Macaca mulatta: one gene and its partners. The protein of the gene in region 4 purifies or fractionates together with the protein of the main gene of each other region. This does not show direct contact. Links are inferred from orthologs where the notes say so. Each region holds a gene or a part of one and is shown on either strand. Other genes may lie near its edges.

The links. Proteins that work in one complex are often made in the same cells at the same time.
Region 1: the proteins of PPP1CA (region 4) and PEAK1 purify together in Homo sapiens (affinity purification with mass spectrometry; 3 studies listed by BioGRID and IntAct, counting the BioPlex papers as one, with this or other methods). This does not show direct contact. The link is inferred for Macaca mulatta from reciprocal best matches to the Homo sapiens genes PPP1CA and PEAK1.
Region 2: the proteins of PPP1CA (region 4) and GSK3B purify together in Homo sapiens (affinity purification with mass spectrometry; 4 studies listed by BioGRID and IntAct, with this or other methods). This does not show direct contact. The link is inferred for Macaca mulatta from reciprocal best matches to the Homo sapiens genes PPP1CA and GSK3B.
Region 3: the proteins of PPP1CA (region 4) and RASSF7 purify together in Homo sapiens (affinity purification with mass spectrometry; 3 studies listed by BioGRID and IntAct, counting the BioPlex papers as one, with this or other methods). This does not show direct contact. The link is inferred for Macaca mulatta from reciprocal best matches to the Homo sapiens genes PPP1CA and RASSF7.

Annotation. Positions count from the first base shown.
Region 1 is NC_133412.1:55,255,387-55,261,511, reverse strand, and holds part of PEAK1 (inactive tyrosine-protein kinase PEAK1), read left to right. Parts: intron 1-2,597; coding exon 2,598-3,761; 3' UTR 3,762-6,125. UniProt on the Homo sapiens protein: Probable catalytically inactive kinase. Scaffolding protein that regulates the cytoskeleton to control cell spreading and migration by modulating focal adhesion dynamics. Acts as a scaffold for mediating EGFR signaling.
Region 2 is NC_133407.1:163,859,474-163,865,598, reverse strand, and holds part of GSK3B (glycogen synthase kinase-3 beta), read right to left. Parts: intron 5,984-6,125; coding exon 5,945-5,983; intron 3,326-5,944; coding exon 3,139-3,325; intron 1-3,138. UniProt on the Homo sapiens protein: Constitutively active protein kinase that acts as a negative regulator in the hormonal control of glucose homeostasis, Wnt signaling and regulation of transcription factors and microtubules, by phosphorylating and inactivating glycogen synthase (GYS1 or GYS2), EIF2B, CTNNB1/beta-catenin, APC, AXIN1, DPYSL2/CRMP2, JUN, NFATC1/NFATC, MAPT/TAU and MACF1.
Region 3 is NC_133419.1:450,576-455,804, reverse strand, and holds the end of RASSF7 (ras association domain-containing protein 7), read right to left. Parts: intron 5,183-5,229; coding exon 5,083-5,182; intron 4,612-5,082; exon of another isoform or gene 4,121-4,611; intron 3,836-4,120; coding exon 3,705-3,835; intron 3,447-3,704; coding exon 2,749-3,446; intron 2,341-2,748; coding exon 2,212-2,340; exon of another isoform or gene 2,134-2,211; coding exon 2,052-2,133; coding exon of another isoform or gene 1,973-2,051; coding exon 1,944-1,972; coding exon of another isoform or gene 1,888-1,943; 3' UTR 1,513-1,887; downstream 1-1,512. UniProt on the Homo sapiens protein: Negatively regulates stress-induced JNK activation and apoptosis by promoting MAP2K7 phosphorylation and inhibiting its ability to activate JNK.
Region 4 is NC_133419.1:6,981,878-6,986,170, reverse strand, and holds the start of PPP1CA (serine/threonine-protein phosphatase PP1-alpha catalytic subunit), read right to left. Parts: upstream 2,801-4,293; 5' UTR 2,725-2,800; coding exon 2,670-2,724; intron 2,144-2,669; coding exon 2,012-2,143; intron 1,863-2,011; coding exon 1,632-1,862; intron 605-1,631; coding exon 500-604; intron 156-499; coding exon 1-155. UniProt on the Homo sapiens protein: Protein phosphatase that associates with over 200 regulatory proteins to form highly specific holoenzymes which dephosphorylate hundreds of biological targets.

The DNA of each region.
Region 1 (6,125 bases), on a different chromosome or scaffold from region 4:
AGAGCCTCACTGCTATGGCAGGTGGCTGTCAGGACTCAAAATAAAGATCTATTTTTCTGTTTTGCTCATTGTTTCAAAAAATTAGGATTCTCTAAGATTGCTTTAGTTTGACATTTGCAAGTTGTTAACTGTTTTAGTCATTATCGGTGTTACATTTGTACAACTTTGTAGTTTACAGGTGTACTGTATATGCTTGATCCCAATTAATCCTCACAACTGCCCTGTGAAGTAGATTTCAATGTTCTTTATATTGTCCCCTTTAATAGGGAGACTGAGACCCAGAGAAATTAGTGAAATGCCCAAGGTTATACAGCTAGTAGCAAAACTAAATCCCAGGCCTCCCAAGCCCTTGGAGAGTGTCCTTTTTTATAATGTAACAGCTAGAGTTTAACCATCCAATCTGATCCAGCTAAATTTGGATGTATTTGATAGCATTTTCAAAGATTGAAGAGTTGAGGCCGGGCGCGGTGGCTCAAGCCTGTAATCCTAGCACTTTGGGAGGCCGAGACGGGCGGATCACGAGGTCAGGAGATCGAGACCATCCTGGCTAACACGGTGAAACCCCGTCTCTACTAAAAATACAAAAAATTAGCCGGGCGAGGTGGCGGGCGCCTGTAGTCCCAGCTACACGGGAGGCTGAGGCAGGAGAATGGCGTAAACCCGGGAGGCGGAGCTTGCAGTGAGCTGAGATCCGGCCACTGCACTCCAGCCCGGGCGACAGAGCGAGACTCCGTCTCAACAAAAAAAAAAAAAAAAAAAAGATTGAAGAGTTGAGACCCTTGAACTTTCATTCCAGAAGACGATGTAATATTCGGCAAACTTAACTGGCAATGGGGTTCATGGTGCCATGTGCTGGATCCAACTCCTGTGCAACTAAACAATGACTAGTATAGAATTTTTAAATACCTGGTAACACTTAAATGTGAAATATTGCCAACAGTGCAGTTATAAAAATAACAAATGTTATGATTGATGAGCATATAGGATTATATATTATACTGCATATACTAAGACTTCGAGAGCTTTCCAGAGATAATATTTTCTGAAAGATATATGTTTGAACTTGAACTCAGGCTGGGGACGTCTGTTCAAGACCAGAAGTTTGCTTAAAAAAGAAATACTTTGTATATCCTCAAACTGAATTAGATAGAGTAGAAGACTTGAAGGAAATTGTGCTTAGGTATAGATTGATTGATTGATTGATTGATTTCCATGGCACTGGTCACTGACATCAAACCTCTTTAACTGTAATAAATATGATAAACTAGAGAATAAGAGAGAGAGAGAGAGAGAGAGAGAGAGATGCTTTTTTCCCTTGAGACTCCCTTGCCTTTGATTTGTTTTTGTTTTTGTTTTTTTAATGTATTTGAATGGAAATCAGAATGTGCTGCTTCTCAGAACTGGGGACCCATCTGAATCCTCCTAAGAATGTATACATTTTTCTTTTTAAATAAAAATTACTAAAAATTGCTTTTTTAAAATTTGCTTTTCTGTATTATTGTAATAAACACGCAGTGTAAACACTACAGAGAGTGCATGTTGCTGGAAGCCTTTGATATTTGTAATATGTGGCAGTGTGCCCCTGCTGAGGAGGGACAGCAGAGAATGACCCTCAGTTAACAGGGCTGTGGAGCGGACTCCAGGCCAGACTATTATGATCCATGAACTAGTATTAGAGACTTGAGTCTTCCACTGTCAGCCTCTCTATAGCATGAGGATAGCCCATTTGGGGGTGGTTTTACTTTTTGGTTTGATAACCCCTTAGAGTAGAAATACAATCATCACAGTATATAGAACTCTTGGCTAACTTTTTTTGATCAAAAAATTCTTCCTTGATCCATAACCACTTAATAAAGTTCTTTAGGAAAGGTCTTATTGCCTCAATAGCGGGTGTTAAATGAGGCCTGTTAAGAGAAAGCATAAAACTCAGACAACCGCCATTGAAATGATGGTTTTGTTCTGACTAGGTCAGACCAGTGACTCTCTCAACCCTACCAGTGATCCATGAGTGCCAGTGTTGTGACCATCACAATGACATTCACTGAAAAGTTAGGAAAACCCACAGTTTACCTGGCCAATGTTATATCCCTCTCCTTCCCTGTGAGATGTTGACACAAAGGGTGATGGGTGATGAAATAAGGTATTCTGGTCTCCATTATGAGTCTGTTGGCCCGCTCTATCAGTCTGGGCTACAAACCTCTACAGAAGTAAGTGAAAAATTATTTCATTGTTGTTCTGATGAGGTGCAAGGTTATAGTGGAAAGAGCAGGCTTTGGCATTACACAAACTTAGGTTTGCAAACATAACCCTGGGCTTTTTTTCTTTTTTAAATTCTTAGATCCTTAATCTACTTTGAAAGGTTAATGTGAGGACTAAAAATGGTACACAGAAAGTGCTCACCACAGCCTGGAATGTGTAGACAACCATGAGAAACGGTTACCACCATTATTATTGTCACTTAACATGGGGCAAGCCTTGCTAACAACTTTACTATATGATCGTTTGTCCCTAACCAGTCACCTTGTAGTTAATCCTCCTGATACATCATAAACATGGTTATGAGAGTGTGAGTTTTAAATTGTTTTATTATCTTTCAGATCTGTAAGAGCAAAGCTAAAGAATCTCAGCAGTATTATCACAGCTTGGCTGTCCGGCAGAGTCTGGCTGTCCATTTTAACATTCAGCAGGACTGTGGTCATTTCCTTGCTGAAGTCCCTAACCGTCTGCTTCCCTGGGAGGATCCTGATGACCCTGAAAAGGAAGAGGATGACATGGAAGAGACTGAAGAAGAAGCCAAAGGAGAAACGGATGGGAAAAACCCAAAGCCCTGTTCTGAAGCAGCATCATCCCAGAAAGACAGCCAGGGAGTCATGAGCAAGAAGCAGAGGAGCCATGTTGTAGTCATCACCAGGGAAGTTCCATGTCTCACTGTGGCTGATTTTGTGCGAGACTCTCTAGCCCAGCATGGGAAAAGCCCTGATTTGTATGAGAGGCAGGTGTGTCTGCTGCTCTTACAGCTATGCTCTGGTCTTGAGCACCTCAAACCCTACCATGTCACTCACTGCGATCTACGCCTAGAGAACCTGCTACTTGTCCACTACCAGCCTGGGGGCACTGCCCAAGGCTTTGGGCCTGCGGAGCCCAGCCCCACCTCATCTTATCCCACTAGGCTTATAGTGAGCAACTTCTCTCAGGCCAAACAGAAGAGCCATCTGGTGGACCCCGAGATCCTCCGGGACCAGTCTCGCCTTGCCCCAGAGATCATAACAGCTACCCAGTATAAAAAGTGTGATGAGTTCCAGACAGGCATCCTTATCTATGAGATGCTGCACCTACCCAACCCCTTTGATGAGAACCCAGAGCTGAAGGAGAGGGAATACACACGAGCAGACCTGCCTCGCATCCCGCTCCGCTCCCCCTACTCCCGGGGTCTGCAGCAGCTGGCCAGCTGCCTCCTGAATCCCAACCCTTCTGAGCGGATCCTCATTTCAGACGCCAAAGGCATCCTCCAGTGTCTGCTCTGGGGCCCCCGCGAAGATCTCTTCCAGACTTTCACCGCCTGCCCTAGCCTAGTGCAGAGGAACACCCTGCTCCAAAACTGGCTAGACATCAAGCGAACACTGCTCATGATCAAGTTTGCTGAGAAGTCCCTGGACAGGGAAGGTGGGATCAGCCTTGAGGACTGGCTTTGTGCTCAGTATTTGGCTTTTGCCACTACAGACTCCCTCAGTTGTATTGTGAAAATTCTACAGCACCGTTAATGTGTACCTGGATGCTGCTTTTACCACATCTTCACCTTCTTCATGTCACCCATGCACTTCCCCTTCCTAGTGCTCACTCCAAATTCAAGGAAAGAAGAAAGACAAACCTCTATCCCTGTCCATGAACAAGTAGGTCCATTCAGAAAGGTTATCCACTGCCCCAAATTGAATGAGAAGCTGAGTCTGTCTTAACTTTACAGAAATTCAGCTGCACAAACTTGCGGTTGCCTTCCTTTGAAACACCTTCTATCCTAATAGAAGAAAATGCAGGTAAAAATGAAAATCCATATTCTTGAAGGGACAGCTTCTTTGGTATGAACTCAGTGAGCCAGTGAGCTGTGTCCATTTCTTCTATAATTCTGGATATCACCTATCTTTTTAGCACCGAGTATTTATTCTCACTAGCAGTAGACAGACTTAACCAGTCTCTACCATGACCCAGTAGACTCTGACAACAGACTCTTCCTTTAAGGTGTCAACAACTGACTTACTAGGCAGAACTGCCATCTTTAGCATCAGCCCAGTTTTGGTTACCAGGGACTATATCCTTTGTTCCAGGAGAGAGTAGAAAGAAAAGGAGAGATCCCATCCTTGGGTCATCAACCCATTTTCATTGCCATTATCTGTAAGTATGTGCACTGCATGGAGGACAGCCCTAATAGTCTCCCCTCTGCTGCCACTGCCTGATTCTCTACTCTGTCCCCACTTGCCAGTGATGTTTGGATTTATCAGCCACTTGTGGCCCATTACAGAGCTGACCCAAGGTGGTGTCACCAATGCCTCAGCAGGGTGGAGTGCAGTTCAGAGCTTATAAATAGCTGGCAGGGCATGAGGAGATGATTTTCTTGCATGTGCAATTCTCTAGGGGCCATCAGGGAACAGAGTTTAAAGTACCCTTTGATTACTGTCAGAACTGTCAGCATTTGCAGTTTTCCCCTGAGCAGTAATTGGCCAGCTCCCTTCTATCAGTAGCCAGTGTTAACTAGTTTAGCAAATGCTGTAAACAATTGCCCTGAATGAAATAGCTGTCGGTGGAGCTCTAAGATCTTACAGGGCACAGTGAGGTGGGCTGTTGGGATGGCCGTAGGCAGGGGAGGGGAAGAAGGCCACTGATGAGACTGCTGACCTCCTTAGAATGTTGACCTCTTTTAGAGAGACTGCCTCCCAGTGTAAGTGGCTCATTGTTCCTTCTGACTCTCTCTAAAATGGCTCTGGAGGACAGCTCACGAGAATTCTGATTGCTGAGGTGGGTGATTGAGAGCTGTTCACCATGTGTGCAGCCTGTGCTCCCCTCCTATGGATATATGTGCAATTTTTGTATGTATTTTTTTAGCTGTATATTACAGTGTTTATGTTGCAACTTCACCTGAAGCGAGTCTACAGAAACCTTCCCCCTTCTTCCCTTGGCACATATTTGCGCTAAGAGATGAGCGTTCCTTCCACTGGGGGGTGTGTGTGTGTGTGTGTGTGTTTGTGTGTGTGTATACACATGTGCACCTGTGCTTGTTTTATTCAAAACTGTGAGTATGTGTTTACTTTGACCTTGAAATCCCAAGAGTCACTCGAACAATGTGTGTGTACACTTGTGTGCCCATGTGTGCGTGCACACGCATGCTGGAAGTAGAGGCCACGCCTCTAGAGAAGCAACCTGTGGCAGGGTTGACAGACATGTTCTCTGTGCCTAGTGAGTGAGTGAGCCCTGAGGCCCCTCATCTACCAGTGCAGAGTTTCCTTAAAGCCAAGACTGATTGTGCAGTATTACTTACATAGCACATTAGTGGCCTTGGAAATTTCTAAACTTTTAACATTTTTAACAGCCTTTCATGTGATTCATGTATATGAAAGAGGATCAGGAAAGGAGAATAATGTATTTTATTGTGCTCTTATTATTTTTTTAAGTGATTGGAATATGTGAGGCTCTATATGGAGAATGTCCTTATCACCTGGCCAGCAATATAGGATTCACAGGGAGGAAGGCTGGTTAGCCCACAAAGAGTCTTGCCTCCTCTAGCCAGAGTGCAGGGCTCTGCTCCTAGGAATGGCCATGGAGTGGGCATGCTGCTGCAGGCCAGCAGTCCACTCTTGGTATCCTCTGGCACAGCCGCTCCTTGCCTTGAAGGTTGGTGTTTGGTTCATCTTAGTATAGACCATGTGCACATAACTCCTTGCCTGATTATGCACTGAAGTGGCAGCACACAGACCACTGACCATGTCAGCCAGCATATTCCCTTAACCTCCCCCACCTCCCACCTTGCAATGGCTTGCATATTGAGATATACCTTCTCAATGTCACGTTCGTGGTGCCTTGCCCATGTAAATTTGAATGTTGACTGTTTAATAAGGTTACATATTTAATGCAGAATG
Region 2 (6,125 bases), on a different chromosome or scaffold from region 4:
GCATATTGCTCAATGGCTGCCCCAAATATCCCATTTCAACTCTCAATTAACAGTTCCCCAGAGTTATTAAATCACTGCTTCTTCTGGCCTAGCCAACATGCTGCCACTCTTACTTATCTCCCCACAAAGCTACCATTCTCTCACATAATCCTGCCAAGTGGTAGAGGAATAGAATGTTTACATTAGCTCATACTAAAGTAAACGGATAATATCTTTACCACCTCCATCCTACCCTATACTCTTAGGAGGACAATATTTACTAAATAACTTCAATTGGTAAAATTTCATACAAATTAGGTAAAAAACTGAGATTGGGGATGTGTGTGATAGAGTTTGGGGAAGACTCACCTTTAAACATACAAAACAATTGATTTCCTAATATATTCCAGCCTTGGAATAGGCAACAAATTAGTTAATAAGAAAATACTGATCCTTACTGGGCTTTCCTGATTCTATCTGCTTCCTAAGGTCTGATTCAGCTATGGCTGAATTTGAAATTCTAATGACAGGAAGAAATGGAAAGAAGGGGGTGTGCCAAAGGTTTATTCCAATTTCCAACATCTGAGAGCAGATAATATTGTCAGTCATGGGGTCCTGGAACACTGAAGCTTCAGTGCTGGAAAAATGAGAGAGGTCTGATGTTCTCCTGAGTTATGGATTTAGGCAATCAGAAAGATCTCAAAGTTGTCCATCTCATATCTGTTCATCTCTCTCCTTCCTCTATCTGAATATGGAAATATTGTGATTATATGAAAGTAATGCTAATTACTGTTTATGGCTAATTACTCCATGGTACAGTAACAAACATCAAATTGCAGTTAGCTTTATTGTAAGCTTTACCTTAATAAAACACTATATTTTACTCAAGTGTTTAATCTTTATAGTTCCGTATATATAGCAGGTTTACTTTAGAAATTAAAACAATAGTAATGACAACCAGAGGGAACATTAGAAATGCCCCAAAAATACTGGTTGTATGAATTAATGAATATTATGTTTATTTAAAGTGGTACATGGCACTCATACATTCATTGAGCACCTACTATATGTAGATCTTTATTTTATTTGGGGGAAGCAGTGCTGCAGATGTCACTGACAATTTGTTATGAGGATGGAGGAGGGCTTTATGCTGCCTTTAGAAGAACCTCACTAATATCCCTCACCCTTCAACCAGACCCCCCACAATGTTTCTATCTCTAGATTTCCTTTAGCTATACAACCAACTGGAAGATTGATTCTCCTTCTTCAACCCCTTGGATTACCCAGTTTTATTCTGGTCATCCATTAATTACTACTAACTAGCATGTGCTTTAAAGTTGCATCTGTACACAGTTACAGCTGCCTCAGAAAACAAGATCACCATTTGGAAACACTGCTCCAAAATTAGAATACAGAGTATCATATCAAATACAATGGCATCAAGGCTAGGCATGGTGGCTCACACCTGTAATCCTAGCACTCTGGGAGGCCAAGGCAGGCAGATCACCTGAGGTCAGGAGTTTAAAACCAGTCTGGCCAACATGGTGAAACCCCGTCTCTACTGAAAATACAAAAATTAGCCAGGCATGGTGGCAGGTGCCTGTAATCCCAGCTACTAAGGAGGCTGAGGCACAAGAATTGTTTGAATCTGGGAGGTGGAGCTTGCAGTGAGGCAAGATCATGCCACTGCACTCCAGCCTGAGTGACAGAGTGAGACTCCGTCTCAAAACAAAACAAACAAAAAAAAACAAAAAACAAAAACAATAACAACAACAAAAAAAACCTCTCTTCCCTGGACATCTTACATAGAAACACTGTTCAAAAACAGTAACAATAGTGATTTACAAAGACCGTGAGAAAGTACTACTTTGTGATTACAGCTCAGTTTCAGAATGGGTGCTAAGACAGAGCATTTTAACACTTTTTAAAAAGGGGCCATATCTCAAAATGACAGCACTTTCAATAATAAGTAGGCATAAGCACACTCTGTGACGTCTGCCCAAGGACGAAAATTGCTGAATGACACATTTCTCAGAACATATCTGCATCACTAAGGAATACATGACTGTGTTTACAGGGTCCAGTTTTTCACTGATACTCAGAATCACATAAACACTCTGATAACCACAGAGACCACACACTCTATCTATACACATTACATCCAAATATAAATGCATTCTCCAAACCCTCAAAAACATAAATGTTCAAGACCCACATCATATTTATATCTAATGTGCTGGGCAAACATATTTTAAAATACCAAAATAAAAGAGTCTTCTTTTTTTTTTTTTAAAAGAAAGATATGATATATATGAATAAAGGAAATAGATTTCTTTCTTTCACAGAAAGCTCAACATCTCCCTTTTCTGTTTTCTAGCCTGAGTATGCTTACTAATCAATACATCAACTGTGTTTTTTTTGGTAATGAATTGTACATTTTTTATGCTCAGTGTAAGAAGAAAGTCACATCATCAGAGGTAGTGTGACTGAATGAATGAATCACTTAGGTCTTAATCAAGGAGAAAAGAAAACTGAACACAGAAATAGTGAAGAAATAGTGACTATCCCAAGGTCTTCCAGAAACCACAATGCACAAAGTTAGTTTTCCTTTCAGTATTTTCTCTGCAGCAGCGATGGTGCCAAATCTCAGAGGGGATGGAAATTTCCTTGTCTCTATTGTTTGTTTAAGTTCTTAGAAAGGGTTTATAGGGCTCCAGTTTTCCTCCTGTTTGGAAGACAACTGAATTTATACAAATATAGCCAATTCATTCCAGGTTTAAAAAAACTTGATACAAACTCTAGGGAAGCAAGAAATGCTACTATTTTAAGTTTCAGATCCAAACCTAAAGGTTAAATTGTACATTAGTCCAATTAGTGATAAACTTCACTCACTGAACTCTCTGTAACTTCTCCTGTGCCAACATTATATTCTGCTAAAAATTAAAGAAGCTATGCCTATTGGAAAACTTTTATGTGCTACTCTTTTCTTCAAAATCATATAAGTAGTGACCATTAAGTTAGAAAGGATGCTCTTTTCGCCTACCTAAGTACTTAATATGTCCATTTTTGTCTCCCACAGATTTTAATTAATAGAATGTCATTTCACACCCAGTGTGTAGCTTTCCTAGAACTGGTGAAGAGCAAAGTGTTTGGATTTACCTTGAGTGGTGAAGTTGAAGAGTGCAGGTGTGTCTCGCCCATTTGGTAGTTTGACATTTGGGTCCCGTAATTCATCAAAAAATGAATGTGCACAAGCTTCCAGTGGTGTTAGTCGGGCAGTTGGCGTATACTCCAGCAGACGGCTACACAGTGCAATTGCCTCTGGTGGAGTTCGGGGTCGGAAGACCTGCAGTACAAAAAAAGGGAAAGAATAATTAATGTTTTAAGAAACTAAGTAAATACCCTGTGAGCAATGACTTAATTACCACCATGCACAGAAACATGGTTGCATTTGGGAAAGGACCTTCTAGAATGGAAAAAGTTAAATGCATATGATTCACAGGAGTGAATTGCTAATTAAAGATTATATGAGAAATGCTCGGAGAAAAATCTATATATGCTAATCATAAAGTAACAACAATCAGACATGCATACAAAATATGATAGGCACACGGGAAAGGCTGAGTTCTGGAGGCAAGTACAACTAGAAAATTATTTCTTAAATTTTAAAGTTTTCACTGCTATGGCAGTAAATAAAAGATTGCCTCTTTTGCATTGTTTTTTAGCAGAACAATTGTTAATGATGGGCAGTACTGTTCAAAAATTTGGCAATCAAAAAGAAAAGAAAGAAGAGCTATTTACTCTAGGTCTATAAATGCTACTGATTTGGTATTATTTCCAATAAACAGAGCCTACCATTATTTGAAGAAATTCTTGAATACCTTGAATTTGATTAAATGTCCTATTTTTTTTTTCTCAAGTAGGTGTTACCATGAATATGGCCAGATTTCCCCCACTTGAATGAATATTCCAGGGTTTTAATCAAGGAGAAAAAAAATGTATTATCCATTAAGAATGATTAAGACACAGAAAAAGTGAGCTGAAGGCAATATTGAAGAAAAATTCAATTAAATTGATCTACTTAAAGGAATAGATAGCTTTCTACTAATTTGTGTCTTAAATAAAACTAATCATCAAAAACTATAAAAATATGCTTCATTCTAAATTATGGCCACCTACAGAATAAAAATAAAAAGGTAAGGAACAGAAATAAACAGACGAGAAGCCTTTGGAACTAAAGAAAAATGAAACATATATCCCTCGACAGGAAGAACATACAACCGGAGGTGGACAGAGAAGTAGACACTTATAAATGGAGGCAAACAGACCCACAAGTGAGAAAAGTCCATGCAGATTGTGACAGGGCATGGAGCAGCCTGGGAGGCTAAGGTTTCCTAGTAAGAATGGCTCATATAACATCTGGTTGTTCACTTATGCTGATGGTTAGAACTAGTTACAACTACAGAGCTCATTAGACTTTCCAGAGACTATTTATGAGTACTGTCTACAGTGAAAAGAGGATTGTATTTGTTTTTAGTTTATTATTGAAAAAGACATTTTCCATGAAAATTGAGAAATTAGGTAAAGCAGGCTCTTAGGAAATTATTTCAGAACATAAAGAAAGGCCTCAGTTAATTTCTTGGTTATGTTAAAAAGAAACCTTTTTGTAAGGTCAAAACCCGCCTCATCTATTCTTTTGAATACTCTGACTTGCCTCAGTCAAGGAAACCTTAGAGTTACTGTCAAATTTGAAAGGTTCAGCTCTTCTACTGTTATTGGTCCCCTCTCTTGCTCCCAAGGTCTATAATCATATACAGAATGTAAAAAGAAAATAATCAGTGGGAAAACCCAGAACATTTTTGTAAAAATATTAAACACCATTGGCATATTTTATCCCTGAAGGCAAGTTTGCTTCTGTTTGATAGTATAAGAATTTATTTTGCCAGCTAATCCAAAATGTTTTTGCACCAATATGGCAGCACATAAGTGGAATTAAAAGCAGCACCAAAAGTAGAAATAAATATCTCCTGCTAACATTCAAATGTAGGATGGCTGGGCACTGAGTTATTTTAAATAAAAAAATTTCATGTTATATTTTCAAAGATTTTGTGTTAAAGCTGTTAATAAACCTGTATTACAAGCTTGTTTCTGCTATTTTTTTAAGTCACCCATCTCTTTTGGTGTTTTACTGGCTACAAGTGATCATCCATATTGGTACTAAGACATTTATTAGCGTATATTTGTCAGAGAATCGTAACTCACGAAATTCAACAGTTAAAAACAATAAAGAAAATAATACATGCCAAGAGCCTACTTTAAAATCAAGATTTAACCTGCCTTTACAAAACGTATACACTGTTATTTTAAACCCTTGAGAGATTCTTGATGAGAAAAGCCTTGGTTCAGTACTCTGTGAATAAAGGTTAAGTGGAAAACTATGTAGGGTCAAAACCCAGTATCTCCCACAGTTCAGATTTCTGACCATAATACAGGGTGAGTTAGCATGTAACTTCTAAAAATTACAGGGCAAACTAGAAACTAGCTCATCTGAATTATTTTTGCTTCTAAAGAAAAGGAAACCACCAAGAACTGAAATTTGTCTTTTAATTAAAGAAGCTTCCACTGTCACTTCTTTCCTTACTCAATGAAATTGCTTAACACTCAGACCTTTGGTTTCATGGATCTTCATCAATATTTATTCTTGTAATAGAAATAATAATCTTAAAATCCCACAATTCCTAAACTTCAGCCTAGATGTCAATGAATCACCCAAGAGACTGACAATCTAAATATACTATAAACGAAACCTATGCCATACAGTGAATAAAAACAGAAATCACAGCTACTTACATCGTTTACTATTACATTTCAAGAATGAATAATTGTTTAGCCTCTCAAAAAAGATTTCCCCCAAGTTTTATAGACCTGCCCTGAAATTTTGGGAAAAAAAAAATTAAGTACATACCCGCACTCCTGAGGTGAAATGTCCTGTTCCTGACGAATCCTAAAGATGATAATGCAGTGAAATAATCCAAACAGGGGAAGTCAATCCAAAAGAGAATAGTCCAGCAAGGAAAAATATATCCAATGTTATAAGAAATCCATGGTGTGGGGGGGACATAGAAAATGTTTATACAGTTATAAAC
Region 3 (5,229 bases), about 6.5 Mb from region 4:
TCCGCCTCCCGGGTTCACGCCATTCTCCGGCCTCAGCCTCCCGAGTAGCTGGGACTACAGGCGCCCGCCATCTCGCCCGGCTAGTTTTTTGTATTTCTTAATAGAGACGGGGTTTCACCGTGTTAGCCAGGATGGTCTCGATCTCCTGACCTCGTGATCCGCCCACCTTGGCCTCCCAAAGTGCTGGGATTACAGGCTTGAGCCACCGCGCCCGGCCATCATTGCAATATTTTTTTTAACGATTTTTTCTTTAAGCTCATCAGCTATTAGTGTATTCCATGTGTGGCCCAAGACAATTCTTCCAGTGTGGCCCAGGGAAGCCAAAAGATTGGACACCCCTGACCTAGGGCATCCCCATCCTCTGTCCCAGTCCCACCCATGGCTGTACCCAGGTGTAGGGGTCCCCCACATTCTTCTCTAACTCTAACCATGGCCCCTGGAGTTGGGGGTGTATGGCTTACCATGAGGACCAGGAGAGGTGACAGCTAGCCCAAGGGCCCAGGCAGGGGCTGGGCTGGGATGTGGACACGATTTTTTTTTTTTTTAATTTTGGAGACAGTCTTGCTCTGTCACCCAGGCTGGAGTGCAGTGGCGGGATCTCGGCTCACCGCAACCTCCACACCCCGGGTTCGTGCCATTCTCCTGCCTCAGCCTCCCGAGTAGCTGGGACTACAGGTGCCCACCATCATGCCCGGTTAATTTTTTGTATTTTTAGTAGAGACAGGGTTTCACCATGTTAGTCAGGATGGTTTCGATCTCCTAACCTCGTAATCCATCCACCTCAGCCTCCCAAAGTGCTGGGATTACAGGTGTGAGCCACCGCGCCTGGCCAATTTTTTTGTATTTTTAGTAGAGATGAGGTTTCATCACGTTGGCCAGGCTGGTCTCTAACTCCTGATCTCAGGTGATCCCCCCCTTCAGCTTCCCAAAGTGCTGGCATTATAGGTATGGGCCACTGTGCCCGGCCCCTGCCCCAATATCAAAGCTTCAAGCTCATAGCAGACATTTCACACCCACCTGGGGAGGAGGAGGGAGCCCCTGCCCACTAGTACCCATGCCCTCCCTGGGTTGGTGAAGTGGCCTGGGCCTGGCTGACCTGAGTCTGGGACCCGCCCCCACAAGTTCTCAGTAAACCTGACGGGCGGGTCTAGCTTGTCCTGGTGTCCTCAGTTCCTGCTGCTGGTGGGGCCCAGGCAACAGGATGACGGAAATCAGGTGGGAGGGGGTGCAGACAAGCCCAGGACAGTCAGGCTGGGCTGAACCAGCAGGCCCACCAGGCTGGGGCCTCACAGGAGAGCCCCTGGGGTTAGGTGAGGCAGAGCAGGTGGAATGTGGAGCCCAGGAAGCCCCAGCCCTGGGCCCTACTGAGCACTGGTGCCTGAGGGACCCAATTCTCAGACACTCCAGCTGTGGCGTGCCCCAGGTGTCTCAAGGTACTGCTCAGTGGCACCCCGTGGAGGCTCAAGTTCAAGGCCTCAGACCCTGCCCGGCGCAGCTTCGGCACACAATCAAGCCGCTTCCGGCAGTTTATTGAGGTTTTCACGTTGGGGTAAGGGAAGTGGCACACACGTGCTTTTGCCATGTACACACAGTGAAGGACCCCTCCCATAGGCAAGCACATGCTCACAGCTTGAGCACACTGTCCATGCATCTCCTGTCCCCAACAGGCAGTCGTGGCCTTGGGGGCCTGGCAGGTTCTGAGCTGGCTACGCCCCATGCTTTTCCAGGGTGCTGGCAGACCAGCAAGGACTAGGGCAGTCCCCCCCTGTACCCCAGCTCCTGAGGCCAAACCCAGGGCTTCCCACTGTGTGGGGGAGGAGCCCTCTGTGACCACCAACTCTCCTTCTGTGGTGTGGGCAGGCTGGTCTCGAAGCCCTCACTAGGCTGTCACAGAGGCTGGGGTTGGGCTGCCAGAGGACACCACTCTGGGGCAGGAGCTGCTGCTACCTCCAGTTCTGCTTCATGGGGGCCACTGCGGGAGGACACAGGCTGAGGTGGCTGCAGCCACAGGAGGGCCCAGTGCCCCAGGGGGAGGTGGAGCACAGACATACCCTCGGGGCCTAGGCTGGGCACCAGCATGGGACTCGGGGGGTTGCCCAGGAGGGACTCCTCTCTGGCTGAAGGCAGAGGGCCCTGTGGGTTGGGAAGTCAGCTTGGAGTGGGGCTGGGCCAGGTCCTCACCTCCCAGCCTCCCCCAAGAACCACTCCGACCTGAGTGCCAGGAGGGCCCCTGTCAGGCCGTGGGGGCGGTGGCAGCGCAGCCCCAGTCTGCTGGATGAACTGTTGCAGGTTGCACTGACGGAGTTCCCGGTTCAGCTCCTCCAGCTCCTGAGCCTGAGCCTGGGGGCACATGGGACCCTCAGGAGGTATAGCCACAGGGCTCCATGCTCAGGCCCCAGAGGGAGTGCTCTCCTGAGTCGGACCCTGTGACCCCCATATCTGCCGGTGTCAGGGGTGGGGGAGTGACAGGGGATCAGGTCCCCAGGCTCACCTGCCTCCCGAGTAGGACCCTGTGACCCCCATGTCTACCTGTGTCAAGGATGGGGGAGTGACAGGGATCGGGTCCACAGGTTCACCTGCCTCCCCAGTCGGACCCTGTGACCCCTATATTTGCCCGTATCAGGGGTGGGGGAGTGACAGGGGATCAGGTCCCCAGGCTCACCTGCCCCCCAGGTCAGACCCTGTGACCCCCGAATCTGCCGGTATAAGGGGTGGGGAAGTGACAGAGGAACAGGTCCCCAGGCTCACCTGCAGGGCTCGCTCTGCAGCCTCCAGGGCCCGGCTCACCAGAGCCAGGCTGCCCTGCACCTCCGCACTCTGCCGCTCCTGAACAGCCAGGTCCTGGCGCAGGCGCTCAGTGGCAGATGCCATAGGTGAGGGGGGCCCAGGGGCCTCCGCTGCCAGCTGCAGCTCAGCCTCCAGGGCACAGGCCTGAGCATCCAGGGCCTGCAGCCGGGCGGCATGCTCAGCAGTGGCCGCACTTAGCGCCTGCAGGCGTGCCTGTCCCTCTCGCTCCCGGGCTTGCTCCCGACGCAGTTCCTGTTCCCAGAAGGCCTCGTGGCCCAGCTCCTCAGCGTTCCTCTGCACCCTGAGCTCCAGGCCCCGCAGGTCTGTGCAGCAACCTGGTGTGGGTGTCACAGAGGCCGCAGGCCCAGGGTGTGAGAGGCTGGGGGCTGGCCCGGGGGTCAGTGTTTTGCGGGGCTCACAGCCCAGCGCTGCCCGTGGCTTTGCAGGGAGGCTGGCACGAATTGGGCAGCGTTCCGGGGGTGGACAGTTGTCTGAGGAGGGCCTCCCAGCCAGGCTGGGCCCTGTGCGCCTCAGGACAAACTGGACATCACTGGCGAACTGTCCGCAGGTGGCCTGGGCGCCCACTGGACACTCCTCTGGCAGCAGCTGCCGCTCCTTCTCCCTAAGCCGCTGCACAAGCACAAAGCGGCCAGTCTGGCCTGGGGGGGAGAGGAGAAGATCAGCCTATGTCCCCCCAACTCTCTGTCCACCTGGCTTAAGGAATTGGGGAGGACCAAAAGGATCAGCAACCAGTCCCACTCTCCTCCGGGGGGTGCCACGGGGCTGGACCACTCTCCTCCGGGGGGGGGGGTGGCCACGGGGCTGGACCACTCTCCTTCTGGGGGACCATGGGGCCGGACCACCAGGTCCCACTTCAGCTCTACCTGCCCAGCCTGCCTAACCCCAAGAGGACTCACCTATTGCTTGGGCCAGTGCGATGACCACTTCCTGGCAGGTGGTCTGCTCCGAGACCCCACAGACCACACGCTGGATGCCATCCACCCACACCTTCAGCTCCATGGCCGCCAGCCCCAACAACATCCCTGTTCTGTGGGGAGGGTGCAGGCCACAGGGTCAGGACCTACCTACCCCTATCAAAGCCTGGTCCTCCTCTCTTCCTTCTCCTGGACTGCCCTAGAAACGGCTGGGCTGCGACCCCTCAGCATGGGCCCAACCCTCCTGTGCCAGCCCCACCCGCCGGCCACACATTCCTAGGGTGGCGGCCCTCCGGAGCACGCATCCTCCCCCACTTCACCAGCCTACTCTTGCCACGCCCGCACTCCCGGAACAAGGAGAATCATTAACCAGATCCAGGATTTCCTGCCCGCCTCACCTGGCTCGGAGGGCACTGCCCCCTCCCCGGGCGGCGCGGAGGCGCCCGCACGCCAGGCCCCGCGGCCGCCGCCATGGGAACGCCCCACCCGGACCTGCTCAGGCCGCAGAGGCGCTCGGGGTCGCGACCAAGACCTCGACCCTGCAGATCGGGCGTACTCGGGGTCTGAACAGCCCCAGCCACCGCGGGGAGCCCCGCCGCTGCCGCCCAATCGCTGCACTCGCCCCGAAGGTCCCGGTCCCCGCGGCAGGCAGGGATGCCCGCGCCGCGACCCCAGCCTGGCGGGAGCCAGGGCGTCCCCGCTCCGCAGGGAGGGCGCAGGTGCGGCACCGCCCCCGCCCTCCGTCCCGGCATCGCGGAAAACTCTCCCCAGTTGGAGTCGGCGCCCTGCCGGCTAGAGGAGCGCCCCGCACTCGAGAGGCCCCGGGACCCCGCGCGGCTCACCTGGGCGCTCGCCAGCCTCTGTACCCGCTCAGGCGCCGCCGCAACCTGCCGCCCCCAGCGCCGCGGCGCGCCCCGGACCCGCGCCCCCATTGGCCCGCGGCCCGCACGCCCCGCCCCCAGCGCCTCTATTGGCTGCTCAGCGCGGGTGTTCCGCCCCCTCCCCCGCGCCCATTGGCTGTCTCTGTCACGCCCCTCCCCGATCCATTGGCCTGCCGCAGCGCCCCGCCCCCAGAGACTCCAGGTATGGGCGGGTCGGAGGGACGGGCCGAGCCGCGGTCCCCGCCCCCACCTCCACCCGGCTAACAACGCGGAAACGCGGCGGCTGCTACCCGCGGGCTGCGCGTCGAGACAGGTGTCCGACCCTGCTCCTGGGCCGACTTCGTCAGCAGCCTTCTAGTGTGTGGCGGGTTCCCGCCCAGGGAGGGTCTCTGGCCTGGGATCCCGCAACCCCCGCCTGCGTTGAGGGGCAGAGGGGCCAGCCCCTCCCCTCGCTTCCCGGGCCAGCCTTTGGAGCCTACCGCAGCGGCAGTAGCCTGGACGCGCAGGGGTCGCGGGGTCGCAGGATCACCAGTCGCGGCAAGGGAGGTAGAACTCTGCGGAGCTGGCGGGCGCCGAGCCCTGGTGCGGAAGGTGCCCGCTCAGGGGAAGGCCCGGACTCTGGCTGA
Region 4 (4,293 bases):
GGTAAAAGAGACGCCACGGTCGTTCTCGCCCCAGCCCTGCACGTCCTTGTCAGGGTCAGACCACAGCAGGTCACACAGCAGGCCCTGGTCAGGCACGTCTGTGGGCCGCATGATCCGCCGAATCTGCTCCATGGACTGCAGGTCCGGGGAGAGGCCTGGAGGGCCAGAAGGAAGGTCACTTCCTCAAACAAGGACATCCTTCCTCCAGGAAGCCTTGGCCAGTGAGCCTCACCTTTTCCACCACCCTCCTGGTCCCTCCACTGGTCTCCTGGGTGCCTAGGCAGGCAGAAGCCATCCCCTTCCCCTCAGCTTTTTCAAGTTCCCAAACAGGCACAAAGGCGCCCCTGGCCTCCGGAGCACAGAGCTCCTGGGAGAAAGGAGACAAGCCCGCCCCATGTAGGATGCACATCAAGGAAGTGAGTGCAGCCCAGCACAGGGGGGTATGGGAGACACTTCCTGAAAGGAGTGACTTCCCAGATGACAACTAAGGAGAGCTCACCTCCGTGGCAGCAAAAGATCTTTTCGTCCACTATGGCCGCAATGGGCAGGCAGTTGAAGCAGTCAGTGAACGTTTTCCACAGTTTGATGTTGTAGCGTCTCTTGCCTGCCCAGAGGGAGGTAGCTGTGAGGGGTCTGCCTGCTCCACCCTTAGCCGGGGTCTCTGGGCTATTCAGCCGCAGATGGGAGAGAGTCAGGCACCAATGCAAACCACCCCCACCCCTGCCGCCTGTCAGCCTTCCAGGAGTAATTCTAGTTACTTTTTATTTTAATTTGTAATTTAAACAAACAGGATCTGGGCAGGGCATGGTGGCTCACACCTGTAATCCCAGCACTTTGGGAGGCTGAAGCAGGCAGATCACCTGAGGTCAGAAGTTCAAGACCAGCCTGACCAACATGGAGAAACCCTGTCTCTACTAAAATACAAAAAAATTAGCCAGGCGTGGTGTCGCATGCCTGTAATCCCAGCTACTCGGGAGGCTGAGGCAGGAGAATCGCTTGAACCCGGGAGATGGAGGTTGTAGTGAACTGAGATCACACCACTGCACTCCAGCCTGGGCAACAAGAGCGAAACTCCGTCTCAAAAAAGTAAAGAAACAGGGTCTTGTTCAGTCACCCAGGCTGGAGTGCAGTGGCAAGATCATAGCTCACTGTAACTTGGAGCTTCTGAGTCCAAGTGATCTTCCCGCCTCAGCCTCCCACCAGAAGTAATTCTAAAGCACCCGAGTCCACTGGAAACTGAGTTCCAATCTGGACCAGCCTCAGGGTTGGCACTCCTTGCACGCCCCGGCCCACGAGCCGGGCCAAGTACAGGTCTGGTTTATCTCAGCTTCTGGACAGCAGAGCTCATCTGCAAACATCCTAAATGCTTAGTAGCAAATGTAGAGGGAACGTCACCAGGCAGGGCCCTGGGGGAAAGCACTAGAATACGGACAGTCCTTCAGTCAGCAACCATTCCCCAGACCCCATGCCAGGAGGGGCAGGGCAGGCACAAGAACGGACCTGGGCCCTGCCTTCGTGGAGTGCACAGTCTAGCAAGTGTCTGTCAGATATCAGGCCAATGTGAAGGTCCCACTGAATGACAAGGAGTGTGGTTCAGGACCCGGGCAGCCCCAGACGCTCAGACCACTCACACTCATCGTAGAAACCGTAGATGCGGTTGATGCTGGCGCACTCGTGGTTCCCACGGAGCAGGAAGAAGTTCTCGGGGTACTTGATCTTATAGGCCAGCAGCAGGCAGATGGTCTCCAAGGACTGCTTGCCCCTGTCCACATAGTCCCCCAGAAAGAGGTAGTTGCTCTCCGGAGGGAAACCGCCATACTCAAATAGTCGCAGAAGGTCATAGTACTGGCCGTGTATATCACCTGTGACCCAGGGAATCGGGTAAGCTAGATGCAGGGTCTAGACCTGAACCCAGGACCAGGACTGGGCTCAAGGGAGGAGGACTCCAGGAACTCTGTGGGGGCCAGTGCCACTTTCAGGAAAGCAAGGGGACCTGGGTCGGGGGGCTCACCGCAGATCTTGAGGGGTGCCTCCAGCTCCAGAAGAATGGGCTGGCTCAGGAAAATCTCCCGGGATTTCAGGCACAGGCCGCGGATCTCGTTCTCTGTCAGCTGTACATTCTTGCCAGGCCGCGAGCCCTGCACTGGGGGCGCAATGGGGTGTCAAGACCCGGGACCCTGACAGGTGGAGGGTGGGCGACACGGGTGGCCCCATGGATACCTCCGGGGGCGCCTAGGCCTCCTCGGCCGCTCCTTGCCCGCAGGCAGCTGTTGCTGCTGAGCCTCCCGGGACCTCGGCCTCAAGCCTCCCAAGGGAAGCCCCCAACTACCCTCAGCGCCTCGGGAGGCGACTGTCGTGCGCAGGGGGCTGCCACCCAAACACCTCACAGCGCAGGACCCCTTCCTGGACCGGGCTTCCCGGGTTTCTCCCTCGCCTCAAGAACCCAGGCAACCCGTGCGCCCCCGGCCCGGGAGAGGGGGCTGCTCCGCGCGTCGGAGCGGGCCCAGGACCTCTCAGGCGCGTCCGCGGGGGGGCGGCTGCGGCCACCGAACCTCGCGGCCCGTCCCCGCCCAGTCTAAGCTGGCCCCGGGGGCCCGCCCGCGCGCCACTTCCGGGCCCGGCAGGGGGCCCGGGAGCGGCGGACGCAGGCCTCCCCCGCCGCGACCAACCTTCTAGCAGGCGCCCGATGATCGAGTCAAGGTTGAGCTTCTCGCTATCGGACATGGCGGCGCCGCCGCTCCAGCCCAGCAGCTCCGGGCCCGCTCCTGCCTCCCGCCCTCCGGCAGCCTCCTTCCGGCCTGGCTCTCCTTCCGCCCGCCCCAGTCCGCCCCCGGCCCGCGGCCCCGCCTCCGGGCCTCCCGGGCCCGCCCCGCCCGGTCCCCCGCGCTCTAGCGCCCCCGCTGGACGTGAAGCGCCGCGGCCTGGGGGGCGGGGCCTTGGCGGCGGGGTCTGTCGGGGGCGCGTCCAACTGGTTACGCCCCAGAGGAGGCGCCCAGCCCGGTTCAGAGGATGTGGGGCCGGAAGAACTGTGGAAGTTGTTTTTCTCTTTCAAAAGCAGAACAGCCGTTCCCACCCCTGCCCTGGGTGGAGGGTGTTGTGAATATATTAATAACCGGCTGCTAGGCACTGAGGGTTAACTGCTCGAAGTGCAGGAAAGGAAACTGAGGCTCAAGAGATATGAACAGACTGGTGCAAGACCTGGACCTCGCATTCACGTACGACCCCCTTTTTCGTGGGTCTCCGTGGCCCCCAGGCGGCTGACCACACTCAAAGACAGCTACGGCTGAACTTCCAGCGCACTTTGGTCCTTGGGGCATGATAAATTAATATTTTCTTACAAGTCCCATAATTAGCTTTTATTTATTTATTTTTTTTGAGACAGAGTTTTGCTCTGTCGCCTAAGCTGGAGTGCAGTGGCGCGACTTTGGCTCACTGCAACATTCGCTTCCCAGGTTCAAGGGGTTCTCCTGCCTCAGCCTCTGGAGTAGCTGGGATTGCAGGCGCGCGCCACTGCGCCTGGTTTTTGTGTGTTTAGCAGAGGTGGGGTTTCGCCATATTGGCCCGGCTGGTCTTGAACTCCTAACCTCAAGTGATCCACTGGCCTCGACCTCCCAAAGTCCTGGGGGGGTTACAGGCGTGAGCCAACAAGCCTGGCCCCATAATTAGCTTTTGAGTAGCACAGTAATATTGCAGGGTGTGCACGTAAAAAGAATTACTATATGAGCAGACATGGCTGGGTGCAGTGGCTCACGCCTGTAATTCCAGCGCTTTGGGAGGCTGAGGTGGGAGGATCGTTTGAGGTCAGGAGTTCAAGACCAGCCTGGCCAACATGGTGAAACCCCATCTCTCTAAAAATACAAAAAGTTAGCTGGGCATGATGGCAGCCGCCTGTAATCTCAGCTATTGGGGAGGCTGAGGCAGGAGAATCACTTGAACCTGGGAGGCGGAGGTTGCAGTGGGCCAAGGCCCATTGCACCCCCTAGCCGAGGTGACAGTGTGAGACTCTGTCTCAAAGGAGCAGACGATAAATTAACCTTAATTCTTGTTGGAACCCTGAGTTGGGTGCTTTACATGCCAGTAACCTCAGAACTGGAGGTGGGCCTGCTGTGGCGGCTTAGGCCTGTAATTCCAGCACTTTGGGAGGCTGAGGTGGGATGGTCTCTTGCGTCCAGCCTGGGCAACACGGCGAAACCTCATCTCAACAAAAAAATACAAAAATTAGCTGGGCATGGTGGTGCACGCCTGCAGTCCCAGCTACTAGGGAGGCTGAGGCAGGAGGATCTCTTGAGACCA